Linked DNA regions of Styela clava. The main gene of each other region encodes a partner of the protein of the gene in region 2 in a complex. Links are inferred from orthologs where the notes say so. Each region holds a gene or a part of one and is shown on either strand. Other genes may lie near its edges.

Evidence for each region. The genes of interacting proteins can lie anywhere in the genome.
Region 1: the proteins of nuclear factor NF-kappa-B p105 subunit-like (region 2) and thioredoxin-like are in contact, whole or in part, in an NMR structure (PDB 1MDI), measured with the Homo sapiens proteins. The link is inferred for Styela clava from reciprocal best matches to the Homo sapiens genes NFKB1 and TXN. Residues at the interface, in NP_001158884.1 of Homo sapiens: Arg56, Phe57, Arg58, Tyr59, Val60, Cys61, Glu62, Gly63, Pro64; in NP_003320.2 of Homo sapiens: Thr30, Trp31, Cys32, Pro34, Met37, Ile38, Asp58, Val59, Asp60, Asp61, Gln63, Ala66, Ser67, Val71, Lys72, Pro75, Ser90, Gly91, Ala92.

What each region holds. Positions count from the first base shown.
Region 1 is NC_135257.1:18,245,203-18,251,255, reverse strand, and holds thioredoxin-like, read right to left. Parts: upstream 1,838-6,053; 5' UTR 1,768-1,837; coding exon 1,447-1,767; 3' UTR 532-1,446; downstream 1-531. Other genes in the region: tyrosine-protein kinase Src42A-like, read right to left, coding at 308-431. UniProt on the Homo sapiens protein: Participates in various redox reactions through the reversible oxidation of its active center dithiol to a disulfide and catalyzes dithiol-disulfide exchange reactions.
Region 2 is NC_135256.1:16,831,517-16,839,395, forward strand, and holds the start of nuclear factor NF-kappa-B p105 subunit-like, read right to left. Parts: upstream 3,036-7,879; 5' UTR 2,897-3,035; coding exon 2,822-2,896; intron 2,358-2,821; coding exon 2,217-2,357; intron 1,861-2,216; coding exon 1,712-1,860; intron 788-1,711; coding exon 651-787; intron 1-650.

The DNA.
Region 1 (6,053 bases), on a different chromosome or scaffold from region 2:
GAGAACAGAATGGGCCTAAATCTCTTATGGAGGTAAAAAAGCAGAAAGAAATTGAAGCTGAAGTGCCAAAAAATATTGATTACAAAGATATTCTCATCCAAACTAAAATAACCAGAGCTCAGGACTTTACTAATTGTGAATATCTAGATATTCAAAAATAAAAAAATTCCAAATTGTTTTTTGCGTTTTTCTCAAAACTCAAAATTGTGACTTAGGCCTGTTCTGTTCTCATCCGGCGATATGTTATTTGATAAATAAATTTAAAAAAGCAGATATAAATAAAAAAAAAATTCTGGTAGTCTCTTACTTTGAGATCGTTGTTGTTGTTGAATATTTGAAAATGATGCCTGTGACATTTTTGGTTGCCGGTTACTTCCATTTGTATTTGAATTTTGTGGAGGGCCGATCAGCCTCCTTATACATCCACCCATGGTTGTTGTTCAATCCAATGTAAAATATCCCGACTTCAGAATATCGTACAAGTTTTCACATGTTATGGAAAGTTCAATTTTTAAAAGTAATATCCCGAAGCTAAATAAAACAGAACCAATATTATTGTCAGTACTACAATTCGAATACCTGAAAATTTGTTTATAAAAAATAGTCACTCGAAAAAACTGAAATTTGAATAATGTATTATCACAATATTGAATATTCCCTATTATCATCAAAATTTGCAAAATCAAGAGATAATCTGCATATATCGTACAAGCATTTCACTATATTAACTAGAACGTTTGAATAAACATTCAACAGAACAAATATGCATGTGAGCTTTATGGAAGTCCATATTTAAAAAGATTAATATTCAAGAATATTTTTTAGCAAATCATGATATAACATGCTCGATTAGACCGCATTGGGTAAAACTACAAATTTTACGAGAAACTGGTTGTAAAATATCAGAATGGGTGCTCAAGCCTAATTGCATTAATTTTGGGGCAAATTTAATAAGTAATACCGAAAAGTGCAAATAGAACATATTTATATAGGAAGAAATTCTAAGAAAGTAAATTCAATCCAGATTGGGCAACAAATTTTGACTTCATCATAAGCAAATTGTGTGACTATTCGTGTTTCTAATGAGTTCGGATAATTACTAAAAAAAGCAAAGATACATGATCTTGAAGAGATATGTTGACTGTATCGCAGAAAACTAATTTTTTTAAATCAGAACTGCAAAATAAATTATCAAACCCATTCCCGTTTATAAATACATTTATCAAACTTTGTTCAAAATCGGAATTCTGTATTCAACTATTTAAACCCAGGTAACATCTTCACTGAGTACATCTGTATTAAAAAATTAGCCTCAGATTACAATTTACAACACTACAAATATTAAAATTGACTACAAATTGTGCATTCCCGAATTCAAAATGATTTTTGGGATAATTTATCGCTATTGGATCAATTACAGGAAATCAAAACTATATTGAAAAGATTCTAAATATTCTTCTCTATCATCTCTCTCAGCTTGGCTTCACTTGCTCCCACAAGTTCATCAACTTTTTGACCATTCTTGAAAAACAGAAATGTAGGCATAGCACTTATTCCATGCTTTTCAGTAGTGTCTGAATTTTCGTCCACATCCACTTTTAGAAAAACAGCATTTTTGTATTCCCCACTCATTGCTGCAACTTTGGGACCAATCACTTTACACGGTCCGCACCAAGTCGCATAGAAGTCGACAACAACAAGTTTTTGACCAGCATCACAAAGTTGCTTATCGAAATCTTCTTTTGTATCACATTGTATTACAGACATCTTGTCAGCTGGGCTACTTGTGTTAACTAATCACTTTGATAAAAATACAGTGCAGTAAGATACATGAGGAAGGCAAGATAGTAAAAGGTAGCTACTTGTGTTAGCTGATTACCAGTACTTTAATACAAATACAGTGCAGTAAGATATAGGATAAAGGCAAAATAATAAAAGACAGTCTGCATATATCGCACAAGCATTCCACTATATTAACTGAACGAGGTAGGTTTATATAAACATTCAACAGAACGAATATGGCTGTGACCTCTGAAGGAAGTCTATATTTGAAAAAATTGATATTCAAGAATTTGGCCTGGTCCTTATTTCATTTTGACTAGTCCAAAAGCTCCAGTATAGATTAATTTTTTTAGCTTGTCACACAAGCCAGATTTGACCACAATCGTAAAACTTTGAATTTTTTTACAAATAAATTTGTAAGGATAGGTGAACAATTCAAACAGCATTATTTTCATAAAAAGTTTTAGCAAATTAATAGGTAAAATGAAAATGGAACTTATTTGTATAGAAAGTAATTTAGGGAAAAGTAAATTCATTTCAGATTATACTATAAATTTTGACTGCATAAATGCGCATAGTTAATAAGTGACTAATCGTGGGAATTCTAACTTGAAAGTTCAAATATAAAATGCAGTGTATTATGAAGAAATTTCAGGTAATTGAGTTTGGATAATTACTAAAAGAAGCAAAGATACATGATCTTGGAAAAACAAGTTGACTGTATCTCAGAAAACTACCGTAACTTTTTTACATCAGAAGTTAAATAAATAAATTATAAACTCATTCAAAAACTACACCAATAATTGAAATACAATCGTACATAATTCACTGTGAAAAAATATTATTGCTACATTTTTATAAGGACTTTATTAGGATTTAAAACTATGCAACAAAACCTTAGAAAAGGTACCATAAAAAAAGTGTTGACCCGAAATTATGAAAACTGATAGCAATAAAGAGTACCACGAAAATGAAAAATTTTATAAATCACATACCCTTAAAATAATAAAATTACCTTTTGAACATTGAATTTCAACTTCAACATACATACAACAAAGAAGAAGTAGGGTCTCGTGTAGTTTCGTACCTAACTTACTTCAAGTGGGCGTAGCATAACAATTTTTTGATATGTCAATCCTAACCCCCATCTGACTACAGCATCCAAAAATTACGTCACTACGACATCACAATTACGTCATAGGGCTTGCCAAATATACGTACAATCGCCTGAAATGGCATTGGCGCCGACGATAAAGAACTGACCGGCGTTATCGATCTTTCTCCTATCGTGATTGTGACGTCGCAGTGACGTAATTTTCTCTCGTTTTCTTGTCGCAACGATTCCAATAGGAGAGAGATCGATAACGCCAGTCAGTTCTTTATCGTCGGCGCCAATGCCATTTCGGGCGATTCTACGTATATTTGGCAAGCTCTATGACATAATTGTGATGTCGTAGTGACATAATTCTTGGATGACGTAGTCAGATGGGGGTTAAGATTGACGGGTCTCGTGTAGTTTTGTACCCCAAGTACAGAAGTACTTCTAGTGAGCGTAGCATAATGATTTTTGCAAATGTCAATTCTAACCCAGTACGGCACACTATACATATCGGGTGACATTGTCCCGTTTCAGAGAAACCCATTTTACAGATGATCAGACACCCCTCCTTTGGGGAGACGTCTGGACAAATGGCCAAACCAAATGACCAAATGGGAATTTTGATCATGTGACGGCTCCGATTAATTTAGATTATTATTGAGACAAGCACGGCATGATATGAAGCATCTGACGTGGTCCCAGAGGCCCCTCGTTTGTGAGACACATGAAGTGTTTGTTTTATTGAGCCAAATTCTTGGAATTTGGATAGTGTGCTGTACTGTAACCCCACCTGACTATGCCATCAAAAAATTACGGCACCATCACGCCATACTGTCATAGAGCTTGCCAAAGTACCTTTTTTTTTTTTTTTGCCAAATAAATTCCAATGCCAAACGGAATTTTCGTATTCTGTATGCCTACGATCGCCTGAAATGGCATCTGCGCCGACGATAAAGAACTCACTAACGGCAGCGATCTCTCTCATAAATCCACGTTTAGTACCACATATACTTCTAGTGGGCGTTGCTCAATTTTTTTTAATATGTCACTCCTGAACCCCCACCTGGCTACGGCATCCAAAAATTACGTCACTGCGACGTCACAATCACGAAATAGAGCTTGTCAAAGTATAACGACGTCACTCGTAATGGCGCCTGCGACTACGTTCATTTTTTTTTTTTTTTTTAATTTTTATGCTATTTTTTAGTTTTGCTCTATTTTTTTTTTCTTGACATAGAATAATTTTTTTTTTTATTATTAGTTTCCGAATTAGATCAAGATTTTTAATCATTTTTTTAGAATTTTGAATATCATGGTTTTAACCCTCTCCATGCGATTTTTATTTTTTATTAAATAATCGTATTTGCTACGCCGACTTTATGCATTTGTACCACTGAACTGGAAATATATGGAACGATCTTCTCTCTCGTTTTGCGTTGTCGCTGCGCGGGACAATTTGATCGCCGCCATCTTGGCACTTATGCTTCCAAACTTTCTTCCTGCTGGTAGGGTAGTTCGCTGGTTTTGGCTTGTTTTTCGTGTTTAAAAGCTGCTAGTTTCATAATTGGGTATTTACGTTCAAACTTCCCTAAGTATAGGTGGCTAGGTTAGTATTTGTCACTAGCTAGTTAGTATTTTTTTTTATATTTTAGGCTGACAGTACGATATAGTTACGGAATAGTTTAACTAAAGGTAGGTACGGTATGGCATTGCCAAAAAAATCTGAGGCGGAGAAAATGATTGGAAAAAGTAGCGGTATTGGTACTCAGTGCTCCGCATATGGTTGCAAAAAACGTTTTAAAAAGAAGGACTTTCGAAGTGATAGCGAGGGAGATGATGACGAGGAAAGTGTGCTGAAACGAAAATAAGGACATTTCATAAGTAAGAAAAATAGCCCAGCAGTTTGTGTTAACAATATCAGTTTTCAGTTGTCTGCCAGTGTGTGTCTTAGCAATTTGTTCATAGCCTGCTAAACATTGTAAAAGATAAAGCTAGTTTTATTATCATGATATACAGATATATGTTAGAGTAAATGCATACAGATACAGGTATAGCTGTCTCGGTACAGTATTGAGGCTCGTCTTCTGTAACTATAAGGTCAGAAGTCAGTTTGTAGTAAAGTTGTAATTTAGTCAAAGTTGTTGGAAAAATTGTATAAGCATTTAAATCATTTGGGCTGAAGGCGACAGCAAGTTTATAACATACAAAGTAGTCAACAATTTAGCGCATAAAACTATTATTGACTAGAAAAGAGCGTTTTTGACTATACAGATAGACTATGTTAAATCCAAATTCTGGTTCTGGCCTGCTTCAATTCAAGTAGCTCAAATCCGAATAAATTGTGCACTTACTGCATGAAATGATTATCAGTTCTTTTTTGCTCATACATAATTAACAATATTTTTCTCAGATTTCCTTTGAATAAGGCACTTTGCGAGAAGTGGGTAACTGCTTTGCGGAGGGCGAATTGGATTCCAACTAGTTCTTCACGTTTATGCTCTGACCATTTTAAAGAGAGCGATATTAAGAGAACCGGGCAACGCACAAGAATTAAGGACAATGCTGTTCCGACCCGATTCAAAGCATTTCCAAAATATTTAAGAAAGGTATGCATAAGATAAACAACAAATTGAATCCTCAATAACTTTAAATGTTGTACCCAGAGCGACAAAAAATCCTGTCACATATTTTAATGGGTGTTTTTTTCATATATCAGGCAATTAAGATCACTATAGCATGCAGATACCTAGTATTTTAGCTTATGGTAATAGACTTGATCTGTTATGTATTTTAATTTTTAGTTTATCGGAATAACTATATAAAATCATCTGTTTATGTGATGTGAGAGATTTTTTTTTACGACAAATGCCTTCTAAATTTTCAAAATTCTCGTTTTTTGCCACATGCTTCGGTTCAACGCATCTAAAGTGGGACATGCTCATGATCATCAAAATTTCTTGCAGGTCAACGAACAGCGAAAGTCACCGACAAAAAGAAAATTTCATTCATGTGTAAAGCAGAAGTGGTCAGTGCAGGAGAAATTTAACAATGTGCTCCATGACCACTCATATTCACAGGTCATTGCTTCACCTACAAAGTTAAAAAAATTAAATCTCAGCTTACAACATTTAAAAGCAGTAAGAAAACGACTCCGGCTTTGTCAAAAAAAAAC
Region 2 (7,879 bases):
TTCAACTCATTGCAGAATATTTGAAATTATACCAAAAGTAATATCAGAAACTTCATTAGATATCTGCAATGCAGAAAATAATAAAATACTCTGAAATACGATGTGAGAAACAGTCTTATTACAATTCTTTTCAGCAGGGGACAATTTATCAAGAAAAAGTTGGCATTCATCATGACTATTTCATGAATGGATCGAATGGGCAAATTCCATTCAAATCGTAAAACACAATTTTAGGAAACCAAACAATTCAGTTATTATTTATAATAATATAATATTTGTGAGCAAATACAAATTGCAGATGTAGAGTTTCCAAAACAAAACTAAGCCCCACCGCCACCACACACTGACCTAAAAAATTCATAGTCATTGTGAAATGGGAATTCCCACCATGCCAGTGCTCAAGTTATTTTTATACACAGATATGAAGCGAATTAAGATATTATCATGATTGATTTCAAACATTGATTTCTCATAATCAATGAGAAATGCAAGCGGCAATCAGACACAACTGGCATGAAGCATTGAGCATTTGAACTAAATAATTAAGCTGTTCTGATGTCCCTGATTCTAATAACAGGCGAGGTATAAATGAACAACTTCGATGTCATCAACAGCCATTTAAGGTAAAAATGAATCGAAGGAGATCGTACCCTTTATAGCATTTTGAATGTCCGCGGTCAATCCTTCATTGAGGGACGAGAGCTGCATTTCGGCAGCCAAGTATCGTTCTTCAAGAATTTTTGCTACATTTTTCTTCGTGACATGTTGTATCCCAAGATTGGGAAATCTGAATCATAAAAATGCAAATTTTTTTAATATAAAAATAAATTTTAATTGGTCATATTGAGGATGTCATAAAAGCAAAATTTACTGTTAATAATTGATTCTATATAAATAGAAAAGAATATTAAACGAAAAAATCGATAATTGAGGCAAAAAATCTATATATTCGTTTGAGCAAATGCTAAATTTAAAGTATTGAAATAGAAAGAAGATTTTATAATGAAATGTATAAATTAAACAACATTTCAATTCAAATTGAACCCCATTCTATCAGCACAGCATGAGGTGTGGTAAAGATATTCCGTCAGCATTTAGAAAACAAATATCCAAATATGGCAATTTACATAATTTATCTTTAAAATATTTATCGCAAAAAGATAAATCAAATTATATTCTTATTTAGTTACAACAACTTGATAGCAAATATAGGCTAGGCCTATTGAATTTTTGCATTTATATTATTTGTGAGAAATGACATGACGAAGTACTGTAGAACGTTGTGAAATGCTTATTATAATTCTGGTCTTTGGCCAAAATGATTCATGATTTGAATACTTCGAACATACTTCTTTTTATTGTATGCATTTGCCTCATTGTAACTATAACTCGAGTCTTAAATTTTAACTTGGTGTGTTCAAATATGATCTTGCCTAAGACTATGATTATTTTGAATCCAAGGCTCAATTATAAGCAATGAATTCCTATGATTTTATTAGGATATCCAAATTGAACAATGCTTGTCAAAACAGCACTCCTGATATTTATACCCTGTCGGCCTGTCATGTATTACGCCATGTTTCGAAATCATTTTATTACACCTAGAAAAATCCCCTTCAAATATGTAAGAGAGAAGGGAGGGAAAAAAGAGAGAAAGCTCTTCTGTCTGGAAAGAAAAAATGAGTGAAAGAGAAATAAGAGAGAAACTTACGTGGCAGTCATGTCTTTGGGTCCACACTGAACTGTACAGATGCCATTCTGACATTGTTTTCCAACCAAAGAGTGAGGATGAAGTCGTGGGTTCTCTTCATTTGTAACAAGTTGAACAACAATTCTTGCATATCCTGAGTGATTTCTTATCTGATAATGTTAGGAATTCAATTAAAAAATTAGAAAAATCCAATTATAAATAAATAGATAGTATAAGCTTAGCTGTTGGGCCATCAAATAGCACCGACATTAAAATGGAAATGTTTATATCAAATAACACACAATAATCTAAAACTTATATATCACAAATTTGCACATATTTTAAAATTAGATATTCCGATCATAATCATAAAATACAAGTATATTTGACAATATTCATGATTTTATTAGGTAGTGAAATTTTTCAGCTATTTTGTTTACAAACTAAATTCCTTATACATACCAACAAACACCCACACAATTTATAACATTGGATTTATTGACTGTAGCTATGGCATTAAAAATACCTGAACTGCAGGATATGTTTTCTTGTTTTTATCACTACTAGCCCCGGGTATGCCACCGTGGGATGGTCCCTCACAAGAATACCGGAATCTGAACCCTCTCGCTTTTGGGTGTTCGATAATGTCAAGAAACGGTTCCTGACTCTGAAAGAAGAAAAGCAACGCTTTGATAAATCATTAACTTACTATTTGACCAGTAAAGTAAACTGAGTGAGGCAATTTCTGAGCAAATTTATCATGATATCACCAATAGTATTTTAATTCAAACTACTGGTATAAGAGATGAAGCTAAAATCCGCATGACACACAATTTCAAAGTTCTCACATGGAATGACAATTTTTTTTTATAAATCTAGATAAATGCTATTGGGAAAATAGTTTTTGTTCCAAGTTTGAACAGCTTCATATTGACATGGTTATATTTTTTATGTATAACAAACTTTTTATTTTTGTTCATTAATGTCAAATGAATATGTTGCTTATGGTCCATCTGTATCCTCGGACGCAGGATCATTTTTAAGCAAGTTTAAATCTTTGATAACTACTTCACTATTGTTATGGTTTTGAAAATATCAGAAGATATTAAATACTCTTATAGATTCACATACCTCATCCGGATACATATTTATTGTATTTTCGTACTTTTGTTGAAAAGGTAGTGTTCGTTGAGGAGAGTGATACATCTAATAAGAATAACTTTCCTTCATATAATTTCCACAAAATATTTTATAGGATTATTGTAATAATAATTGTAATTATCCTAACGTAGTGACGACCAATATATTTACTTTACAATAATATTGTTCTGTTGAAAAATCAAGGATTATAATTTACTGATAATAGTTATGGTAGGTAAAATAGTACAAATTGCAAAATGGTGGATACTTAGGTGTTGCACCTTAGGACAAACCACATTCAAATAAAGGCATCTAATGAGGAGAATGTATAGACCTGTCACCAAGTGAGATATGGTATACAAGTAGAGCAAGAGTCATTTCATTGGTTTCGATTGAACACTAAACAAATTACAGCACTTCCTTATTCTATTAAAAATGTCCATATACATATAGCGTCATACTCAAAGGAAACGTTAATAAATGAATTCAAAACTGGTATATATCCAATATCTATATACCTCTTGAGTTCAAAATTATAGAGATGTTTTTTCCAAATTGAAGAACTTACATCAAATAAAGAAAAGTTTATGTACCAGTAAATATTACTTCAAGATATTTTAAAAAAATGTTTATTTCACCCACTACTAATAAAGTATACGCTCTACACTTGATATGTTTTTATTTCGGCGATATTTGTTAGTGCATTTCAATACTTCATGGTAATACTTCAAGCAATAAAAAAGCATTCATTTTTAAATTATAATAATAACGGAGATACATATTCAGAAACAATCTAAATAAATTCTAAATCTCAAAGAAATTGTCTTATAACTGAAATGTATAAATATTCATATATATTCAGGGGTTCCATTACATTTGAACCCACGTACATTTGAACCCATGACAATTGCACCTGTATGCTATTGCACCTATGGAATTTTTTTTGTTTCACGGATAGTTAAACCCATACTAACCCTAACCCATGGGTTATAGCACCCGCATATAGATTGAACCCGTGGATATACGCATGGGTTCAAATGTACGGTCACCATATTCAGGACACAAGTTAAATGAAATAAATTATGCAATAGATTCAGATTGACAATTTTTCGAAAATTGACACAATTACGCCGCAATGAAAACTTGGAATTCAAACACTAGTTTTTTAATATATTTATTTTCTATATATATATTATATTTAAACAGTTATTAGCTAATATAATAGTTATAATATAATACATTCTATTTATCATCTTAAATCAGGTACCCTATATGCTGTAATATTTATGAAGATATATAAAAAAAATTTAAACAAGAATACATAACTAGGCGAAAATTTTTCAGGTCTTCAAAATGAAATAATATCTCTCCAAAAACTGGCAAAAATTAGGACGCAGAATTTTAAATCACAAAACGCACTGATACAAAAGTTTCAGACGGTTTGTCATGATTGTGAAAAATACGATGCCAGAGGCATCAAATTTTTTAAGATAGGAAGCCTGAAAAACAGTTAGAAATAATATGGGATCTATAAAGGTAGAAATTTAGGATTGCTGAAAATTCATCTATTTATATTTTACTTCAAGATGGGGGTTTCTGAAAAACTTTTGAGCAAACTACTAGATATTTTTGAATTTTGAATATAATCATTACCCTATCTGAATAATTAGTATTCTAAAGCCCCATTTTTTAATTCGAATTCATGATGTACTCTAAAGTTAACAAATTTGAGTTTAGTATAAATTGCTGAAAGCAATTTAAAAAAATCGCTATCTCTTCGGTCATACCATTCTATGCTTCTATCATTCATTCTGTCATAAAAATAGCCTGATAATCTCCTATGGTATTGAGGTAATCACAATGTCTACAAGTATATTTGTCCCAAGAAGAAAAAGTAATAATAAATAAGTCATGAAATACTACTGAAGCACTCTTTATTGAACAGAAAGTATGACATCATATTTTCAGGTGACTGCCATATTTTTACTCATTTTTTTCTGAAAAATAAAAGAATGGTTCACCAGGGGAAAGAAAATGTGATACCAGAAAAAGGTTATATATATAAATGTGATCAATAATAACTTCTCCATATGGCTATAGAATGGAATGTCTATGTTTATATAGTTTGACGTTATAGCATTCTGTCCGCCACCTAATTAGTTTAAACAAATACATACGGTATATAAATATAAATTGGACCTCCTGAAGTATGCGTACCAAGATGGCCCACAACCTGAACTCAGGTGTGTACCAGGTTAGGGTTCAGGTTATGCGACATCTTGGTGCGCATACTTCAGGAGTACCTATAAATTTAACAAATATGATGAAAGTCCATGGCAAAAAACATATATAAATATATAGAGTGGCAAACATTTCATATTCAGCTGTAAAGTCTGATCCTACACTTAAACACTACACATTGAGTCATGAGAATGATGTCAAATTGCCAACATGAAAAATTTTGATTATGAAAATTTTTCTAAAAAATATTGTAAAATTTAAAAGTACATCTTACGAAAATAAATGTTATACAATATAGTTATTCGATACATTTTTCCAAAGTCTGCAAAGATATATATATATGAACAAATAAATAATAACACTATAATTTCACATATTCTGAATAGTTTTTAAATTTATATCTTCGTAGCTAGGATTATTTAATTTTGATGAACAAACATATCTTCTTTATTATATAAGTCTACATATTATGACACAAAAATGGACTCATCTGAAACCCTATGCGCTAACATAATATATGAACTGGTCACATTTACATTGTGAAATTTCACACAGAAATTTCCCAGAGATAAACAATAATAGTTGAAAAGGAACTACAGTGACATCATGAACAATATGGATAAATCTGACGTGTGTCATTGTTTGTAGAGGACAGCTTATAAATATAAGAATAATTTGACATCCAAAATATCTGATGTTCTTTATAATATTGATCCAATCAATAATTTGTTTAAGCAGACATTCTTCATTTTTGTATCACAACAAGATAGTTGCAAACTCTTGAATCCTTCTAACTATGCATACCTGTATTTTCTTACAGAACATCAAAAATGTACTACTCATTCCAACAATTAGCTAAAATTGTTTGCTTGATGTTTACAGGAAATCTTATCATCTCAACAATCAATCAGATACAGCAGGGGTATGCAACCTTCAATACAGGAGGGCCAGATTACCGTATACAAATACCTGAGTGAAATCGCTGGCAGTCCATTTATTTAACATAGGCTTTATAGTAGTTGCAGGCAAAAATTTTGGTCATTAATCTTATGGCATGTGTTGTTCACTTCGCACAAGCTAGCATTTGGCCCTCGGGCCAAATTTCACGAAATTTCAACATAACTTGGAAAAAATACACAGACAGAGAGATAACCTCGCACACAATAACCTAAAACACACTATAACCTTGTAATTGATTTTTTCATTGCCGCATGAATTGCCCCAACCTATCTCTTCATACAATCTAATGATTATGACATAGGGGATTCTCACAAAAGGGGATTCTTTAAATTGCAATGATACAAATACAGAAATAACTCATTGTCAAAATCTCGCATTAAGTTGTTTTGCTAAATTTTGAGCCACTGAGCACTGGAGCAATGATGTGTGTTCAAGTTCTAAGCAAAGGAACCAGAAAATATGCAAAAAAAAACTTTCTCTGTTGATAAACATAAGCTAATTTTATTAATACCGGTATTCATTACAGCACTACAGAAAAGTGTTGGCATATTCTGAACATTGAATTCATGGATCTTTAATAAATATAAATAGAGCAGTAGAGTCAGATAGCAGTATAGAAGACCCCTACTACATACAGACATTCTATCCTGCTATCTGACTATTTCAGTATTCTGGCAGTCTAGTCAACTTCTGACCTCAGAGAGTTTGTGGCCTGCTACCACTGTACCATGCCATAATACGTACAGTAATATTATAAAAACTTTTTATCCTTCAGCGCAAAAATAAATATTTAAGAATCATAACAACAGAAGTGTTGTCCGAAAACTGTCAGAAAAGATTACGTATCCGAATTCTAGCACTTCACAGTCTGACAGTTGATGCGGGATTCATATTTCAGTATTTAAAAGTTTGAAGTATTTTTTGCAGTCTAGTTGAACGACGATGAACAAATAGTCTAGTACCAATACCGTCGTTTAAGCGAAAACAGGTCGAGTAAAAACTGTAAACGCAATGTCTATTTGCGTCTACAGCCCCTTACCTGCTTACCCAGTCCATTTTTGAAAGCAACACCAGGTCGACTACCCAAGGCAGTACCGAGACCTCTTCCCTATATCTTCCCGTGGGGTTCCACCTCTAAACCGAATTATGATTGGCTGAAAACAATCACGTGCTATCGTTGCGTGATTCTATTTTTAGTAACACGGAAAGTACCAACAAAAGGAGATAACTTTTGGGCTGTGTTTCTGGCTGGCTCGTGGGTGTTGATTTTTAACACCGGCCAAAATCATTGTTACGAGAGTATAACTATATGTATAAATACGAGTCACATTGAAACGACAACACGTTCTCACGTTAAGTCAACGTTGTATCCTACAAACTACGACTTAATCGTGTGTTGTATCTATCTATAGACAACATTCACATCGGTATCACCATGTCCTCTTACGAGTTATTGCTGCAACGAGCTAGTACATTTTTGATTTTTTCAGCATTAAACGGCTTAGTAATAGTACTTTACATAGCTATGAATTACGTATTTATCCCGGAGGAGAGGAGAGTCGCCAAGACGGCTTAATCATATGTAGTGAATATTTATGAAGACTGGGCAGTGTGTGATTTAATGTTAACTCTTGTTCTTTATTTCATTTCAAATATTATTGAGTTCCGTCATTGTTTACTAAGTGTAACGAAGCGCCCAGACTCAAAAGCAATGTGATTGTCCTCGCGCCAACTACCTCCAACGTTGCCCACCAAAGTCCCATTTCTAGCCACAACAAACAACCTCGCACAGATTAAGGACTTTCTCATTGAACACTACCGAGCCAGCACGTTTAATACGTGTGAACA